2 linked regions of the Tribolium castaneum genome follow. The protein of the gene in region 1 interacts with the protein of each later gene in a pairwise test. Links are inferred from orthologs where the notes say so. Each region holds a gene or a part of one and is shown on either strand. Other genes may lie near its edges.

Evidence for each region. The genes of interacting proteins can lie anywhere in the genome.
Region 2: the proteins of GPN-loop GTPase 1 (region 1) and GPN-loop GTPase 2 interact in binary tests that used the Homo sapiens proteins (3 or more experiments, as listed by UniProt). The link is inferred for Tribolium castaneum from reciprocal best matches to the Homo sapiens genes GPN1 and GPN2.

Annotation. Positions count from the first base shown.
Region 1 is NC_087401.1:17,593,854-17,597,447, forward strand, and holds GPN-loop GTPase 1, read left to right. Parts: upstream 1-1,366; 5' UTR 1,367-1,508; coding exon 1,509-1,671; intron 1,672-1,723; coding exon 1,724-2,318; intron 2,319-2,381; coding exon 2,382-2,572; intron 2,573-2,621; coding exon 2,622-2,731; 3' UTR 2,732-3,063; downstream 3,064-3,594. Other genes in the region: rifampicin phosphotransferase-like, read right to left, coding at 1-92, 140-250, 305-464, 513-651, 713-828, 879-990; Sxl (sex lethal), read right to left, coding at 3,127-3,293, 3,341-3,498, 3,563-3,594. UniProt on the Homo sapiens protein: Small GTPase required for proper nuclear import of RNA polymerase II (RNAPII). May act at an RNAP assembly step prior to nuclear import.
Region 2 is NC_087394.1:30,157,278-30,161,138, forward strand, and holds GPN-loop GTPase 2, read left to right. Parts: upstream 1-1,371; 5' UTR 1,372-1,869; coding exon 1,870-2,421; intron 2,422-2,472; coding exon 2,473-2,709; intron 2,710-2,762; coding exon 2,763-2,873; 3' UTR 2,874-3,352; downstream 3,353-3,861. Other genes in the region: uncharacterized protein LOC664179, read right to left, coding at 1-50. UniProt on the Homo sapiens protein: Small GTPase required for proper localization of RNA polymerase II and III (RNAPII and RNAPIII). May act at an RNAP assembly step prior to nuclear import.

The sequences.
Region 1 (3,594 bases):
ACGGTAAATTTACAAAAAAGTCATCTTTAAACGAGTCGCCTCTGATAAATCCGTGTAAAGCACCGAATTGTTCGTACCCGCATTCATCCCCTCTTAAAATAAAAATTCAATAACATTGCATCTGATTGGTTATTCTTACAGCAGTGATAGCCAATCACCGTCACGCCACGGGTGCTGTGCAAGTGCATTGGTGAGTAAGTCAGTGGCGGCGTCTTGGGGATGAAAACGGGGAGCATTTGTTGCAATCCAACTGCAACAAAAATGATTTAAATCATATGACCAATTAATTTTATTTGATTTTTACGTCAAATTGAATCTGACATGTTCAATATCGTTGGTGGCGTTGCTCAATAATCCATTAAATGTCACTCGGTGACGTTTGAATGGTTCCAGAATTTCCAAATGGAGGTCTTTTGTTTTCCAATGCCAATCTGATAGATTATACTGTTTTGTCTTTTTTTCACCTATTTATTAATAGAATTACAGTTAGATATGTTAATATTATTGTTTACCAGGAAATGTATAGATGGCGCCTGTTGAAAGCCGTAAACAAAGAAAAACCTCGCCTACTAGACCTGACCCAATTATAAAACGTAACGATAGACTATTGCCTTTTTGATCTGCTCCATATATAAAATAATTATCACAGTACTGTAAAAAAAATTATATTAATTGATACTAACTTATCTAATAGATTAGTTTAATGTTTTACATTTTCCGTCCGAATTTCTATTGGACTTTCGGTTATGTTAATTTTTGTTTTGAATTTGTTTTGATGTTTTTTGACGGCCGATTTTGCGATTAGGAATTTAATTATATAAAACCAATCTAAAATTAATCAAGTAAATACATAATTAATTATGGAAAGAAATAAATACCTCGGTTTGTGTAAAAACGATTTTTTGTCCGATGTTGGAATACAAGAACGTAGAGTGAGATCGGAATTAGAAAAAGTGTTACGTAATAACAAAAATTGAGTAAGAGCTCCATGGTCACGACTAGAAGTAATTTCGATTAAATGTTTCAAACAGGTGTTTGAGATAATAATAATTATTATCTAAACTTGAAATTTTAACTTATCTGCGTGAGCACTTTGGATTGGAGTTGGATAGAGACACATTTACAGATCAGTGATGTAAACATAAATCAAGGCCAAACAGATAATTGCATTGCTTATTATTACATGAAAGTATTAGTATCATAGGTCAATGCCATCATTCCGAAACGGAAGTGAACATTTTTGTGATTTAAATGTAATTTTCAAAAAAAGAACCCCAGAAAGTACGCCACTGGAGAATTTGTAAAAATTAAATTATGGGTTTTTTAAATCCAGTTAGTGCAAAAGCGATTACATGAATTGATTTAAAAGTTATTATATACAATCAAAAATTTTCTGTCTTGAGGCACAAATTTGCAAAGATTGTTTGAACCTAAATACACAGCTTCTGTTCCAACTGTCAAATGTCATGAAGCTAACCAAACTTTTTTTCCACTTTATTTTATGAAAAATGTCCGAAACGGGGGGCAAAGCTCCCGTGAGTGTAATAGTGCTTGGAATGGCCGGTTCTGGCAAAACTTGTCTTGTTACTCGCTTATCAAATTCTCCGAAAAAACCGTACGTTGTGAATTTGGACCCTGCTTGTTTCAATTTACCCTATTTCGCTAATATTGGCAAGTATTCGCGGGCGTCAAAGTTTTCTTGGGATTTAATGTTAAATTACAGATATTAGAGATACGGTAAATTACAAGGAGGTTATGAAGCAGTACAAATTAGGCCCTAATGGTGCTATCGTCACAAGTTTGAACTTATTTTCAACGAAATTCTCTGAAGTGATTGGTTTTATTGAAAAGTCGAATCATGATTTGTGCATTTTGGATACTCCTGGTCAAATTGAGGTGTTTACTTGGTCGGTTTCGGGTTCGATTATTACCGAAACTTTGGCTTCAACTTTACCAACAATCATTTTATACGTTGTTGATTGTGTGCGAAGTACTTCTCCTGTTACGTTTATGTCAAACATGCTTTACGCTTGCTCGATTTTGTATAAAACGCGTCTTCCTTTCATTGTTGTTATGAATAAAGTTGATATCGTTGATCATTCATATGCTGTTGATTGGATGACCGATTTTGAGTCGTTTCAACAAGCACTTGAAGCTGCTGACGACGAAAGCTACATCAGCAATTTGACGAGGTCTATGGCTTTAACATTGGATGAGTTTTACCGAAATTTAAAAGTTTGTGGAGTAAGCGCTGCCACAGGACAAGGACTTGAAGATTTATATAAACTAATAGACGAAGCTAGGATTTTATACGAAACGTAATAACTTTATTTCTATATTTTGTAGTTACTGGAATATTTATTTATTTATATCTATTTTAGTGAATATAGAAGCGAATGGTTGAAAATAAAACAACAATCAGAAGCACAAAAATTGGAAAAATCGAAAAATAATGAACAATGTTTTACGTTGTCGGCTGGGGCCGAATTGTCTGATGTTTTTCTAAGACATCCAGGTAATGACAGTAGTGAAGACTCTGAGGGTGAAGAACAGGCGGCTCCATATCAACAAAGTAGGGACTTGTTTGATTAATTTATTATTTGATTTGATTCTTTTATTAGATGTTGATAATGAAAAAGAAGACGATGTGTTTAAAAAAGTGCTACAACAACAAAGAGAAATGCAAGTGAAAAGGGCAAAAGAAGCAGAGATGAAGAAACACCAAACCTAGTAGGTAATTTATTAAATAAAAGGAAAAAATATAGAAAACAACAATTAAAATTTTATTCACTTGAAACTAGAAATAAATTACAATAAATTATTCAGATCGTTGGTTAAGAAAAAAATTAACACATTTTGTGTGTCAAAAAGAAAAAAAAAACCATAGCTGGTGTTAAGTTTTTTCTTAGGCACATCAATTGCGTACATATTTTTTCCTATTTTATATAAATATATATAATAATAAATAAATAAATGTCTATTGTATTTAGCGTTCAACATACAATTAGTTGGCACGCTTTTCTATCAATATAAAAATAAATATAGAAACTTTGTAAAATAAAATCAACTCTTCAATTAACACAAAAACCATTCTCAGTCAGAAACAAAAAAGAAAAAATGAAGCAATTAACAAAAAAACGAATTTTGTAGATAATTATCGCCTGCTCCCATATTTCTCACATTATTCGAATTATAATTTTGGAAGCGATTACGGTTTTGTAAATTATCAGGCGGCTGTGGTGGCATTTTCCTGAAGGGATTCATTGTCCCTCCTCGAAACGGTGGTACAAAACCTAAACACCCGAAATGCCAAAATTAAGTCAAAACCTCCGTTTCTTACCCCTGTTGTGCATTGAAAAACTCCAATTTTCCAAATATTGAGCTTTTTGACGGCCGTGATCTTCTGCTACGCGAACACTCAACGGAAGCATTGCGTTTTCAAGCAGTTTGCCATCAAGGTCGGCTATGGCAGCTTTGGCCTCTTCTCCTCGCGAAAAACTAAACGAAAAACAAATTATTATTTACAAAGTTTTAATAATTATTATTATCATCATTATTATACCGGACAAAGGCAACTCCACGTGGCATTCCGGT
Region 2 (3,861 bases), on another chromosome or scaffold:
ACAATTCCAAGTATAAGGGCAGCACAAATGATTCCGGCACTTTGAAACATTTTCTTTGATCTTGTTGTCCCAACTCATACAAAAAACGCACATTAACTAATTGCACTGATTTGAAAAGTGCGGTATTGACGTCTCCCTATCTGTTCGACATTTAGTTGTACTAGCAGGAAGACGACATGACGTCACTGATTCTCCCCTCTACGCAAAGACGTCATCAAGCGTCGAATCGATTGGATTCACTTTGCAGCTTTTTCGAAATAGAGCGCTTTCAGATGGTTTTACTAAATAAAACTGTCTTGCAACAAGAGAAAATGGGACTGGAAATGGCACTCGTTTGAATAATTATGTAACCTGTATTTAAACCACTGAACCAGAAACTCGGAAGCGTCGCTTCTTGTTTTTTAGCCTTCACCTGTGTGGATGAGGTTTACAAATGTGTGGCTTTGAATTTCTTTATGCAGCAAAAAGAGTTTAAAAAACGAGTACGAGCGAAGCTTTGACTAGCTTTTCTTTGAGCTTTTATTACAGAATGATGCAAAAAGTACTGCCAGCTAATATTTATACCTAATTTACACCATTTTAATTTGTATCCCCTCTATTTGAATTAATTACCACATTAGAAAAAACAAATTAACAATTGCCTCAGAAAAAATATAATTTTTTAAAGATAAAAGTTTCCCGAAAAATGTTAGTCACCAAAAATGATACTGTGAAAACTCCAGGAGAATCCAGTGAGGCAGAGAGTATAGAATAGTTCGAACATAAAGAATCAATTATCGTGAGGTTTCATCAAAGATATTTTTTAATATGTATTAAAAAAGTTTTTTTTTCAATAAAATAATATACGCATTTTCATCAGCATTATATAAAGTTCGAGGGCTATCTTTATGCAACGAACGTATGTGAGTTACGTACCAAAACACCCGAGAATTTTAAGCGTGTTCGCATAAGTGTTATTCAAAATTTTTTTCGTTAGAACATTTTAATTTAAAAGACGTTGCTATGGGAAGCGTGTTTTAAAATAGTGAAAACACGTTGCTATCGGAAACGTGTTTTATAATCTAGGATTCAGATATTAAAAAGAAGGCTTAAAAGGTTACCAAAAAAATTAATTTTTAAGGTTTTTTTTTAATTGTATTTATTTATGAATTGTATAAAAACCATTTTAGATGATTCATTAAATAACACTAGTACTGTCTTAACAACAGTTTCAATTGGCCACATCCATAACAGATCACACGCATCGGTTTACAATTTTTGGAATTTTATGATTCTAATAAAAAAAAATATAATTAATTTTAGACCAGCCCCTGTACACAAAAAATTGAGTAAATAAAGTCCTGCAACCAAGAATACACCAATGTACAGTCCCTGACAAAAGTCGCGAACACTGTCAAACTACCACAACCTCACTTTTCGAACTAATTTTAGTGAACCAGCATAATTTCGTAATTTGTAATTATGTGTAAGTGACTATGGAAGTGTCCTCACTCATAAATTCATTGTCCCTAACCGACAAATCAAATATTTTCAACTTCGCTGCAAAAATTAACGAAGTACCCACCGAATTTGCAATTGGTACTTTCACGAATCAGAATCTCTTCGTGATCACACAATTCGGCAAATTGTACAGTTTGTACTCAGTCTCAGTGGACCAGACTGAAAACGGAGTGTGTGCCTCCGAACCTGTCTTTTCAGTTCATCAGTTATTTGGTAAAGAAAATATCTACGCAGAAGCTGCCGCCAGATTCATAACTAAAGAACTCAATATCAGGAAACAACTACTCATTTTCCTGAACTTGAAGGAGTATTCAAGGGACACAGTCCTCGGTATTGTTGAAGCTATTAAGAACTACTCCCAGGATAAAGATGTCTGCGGCAAAGAGAACAAAAGTTGCTGAGAATCACTTTGGCCAGGTTGTAATTGGGCCCCCGGGTTCTGGCAAAACCACGTATTGCGGCAAGGTTTACGATTTTTATAAGGACAAGTTGAACAGGAAAGTGGAAGTTGTGAACTTAGACCCAGCTAATGAAAATATGAATTATAATCCTGCCATTGATGTTATGAAGCTGGTGACTGTTGAAGACGTAATGGACACTTTGAAGCTAGGGCCCAACGGGGCCCTTATGTACTGTATGGAGTACTTGGAGGAAAATTTTGATTGGCTGTTGAAGCAGTTGATTGAAATTAAAAACAGCTACTTAATTTTTGATATGCCAGGACAAGTGGAGCTCTATACACACCATAATTCTATCAAGAATATTTTTGGGAAATTGGAGAAAATGGGCTATCATTTGTGCGCTGTCCATATGGTGGATTCGCACTACTGTTCAGACCCTTCAAAATTTATTTCAACCCTTTTATTGAGTCTTTCCACAATGATGCAAATTGCCCTACCACATGTTAATGTTTTAACAAAGGTAATAAACGAAAACATTTGTATAATTTGTGGACAATAAATTTCGTTCTAGGCTGATTTATTGAAAAAGAATGCGGATAAGTTAGATTTCAATATTGATTTTTATACTGATGTTCTAAACCTTGATTATCTACTAGACTTATTGGATGATGCACCACTTACAAGTAAATACAAAAAACTCAACAAGGCTTTGGTTGATTTAATTCAGGACTACAGTTTGGTTTGTTTTGTTCCATTAGATGTTAAGTCTGAGAGGAGTTTATTAAATTTGAAAAGCGCTATTGATAAGGTAATATATTATTTCAACCAATTTTAGTATTTTACTCATAAAAAATTATTTAGGCCAATGGCTACATTTACGGCAGCGGGGAGGAAAGAACTATTCAAGCCTTACTGTCATGTGCAGTTGGATCAAGAACCGAAAGTGAAAGATATGACGCTGATTTCTTTTAGTGTTTAATTTGTTTCACAAAATAAAAAAATTACTGCATTTTGTTTTTATTACTCCTAAATTTAAAGTAAACCTACCACTACTTTGCTGGAGGTTTGGCCTTCTGTTTTTCCAACTGGGCCCTAAAAAATTATTCGTAGCTCTTGTCCACAAACATCTAATTTTTTACCTCAATTGTTTGTTAAAGTCGTCTTCCACGTTATCATCCTCCCAGTTATCTTCCCAGACACTAATATCTTGCTCATCTTTGTCCTTCCCGGTCCAATCTGAAAGCAAGAGAAACAATTCTGCAAATCACTTTGTAACCTCAAATTTACCCTCAACCGGAAATTCCTCAAACTCATCGTCCTCCTCAAGAACACCAAGATCTAACTTAGGTTTCTCGGTCATGTTTAGATTTTGTTTTATCGATATAATTACAAAATTTGAACGATATGATCGTAAAAAGTTGAAACGTTATTTTCAGAAACTTTTCTAGAAACGACAATTCGATTTGCTTACATTACAGGAAACTGTATTTTTTTTTACATAATGCTGCAACCTGTGGTGGAAGGGCCAAACTTTTACAAATCTTACAGAATTTTCCGATTAAACATTTTTTATTTTTAACTAGATCGTGCAAAGAATTAAATTAGGGTATAATTTGATTATAAATTACAAAATAATTACCAATATTGTAAAAGTAGTATTGCTTTTATCGTGCAAAAACTTTTCTAAAAATGACAATTCGATTTGCTTATATTACAGGAAACTGTAATTTTTTACATGATGCTGCAATTTGTGGACGAGGAACCCAACTCTTACAAGTTTTACAGAATTTTCAGATTAATATTTTTTATTTTTAAAGATCTTGCAAAGAATTAAATTAGGATATGATTTCATTATAAATTAAAAAACTCACCAATATTTTGTACGTAGTATTGCTTTTATTGTGCAGAAACTTTTCTAGAAATGACAATTCGATTTACTTATATTACAGGAAACTGTAAT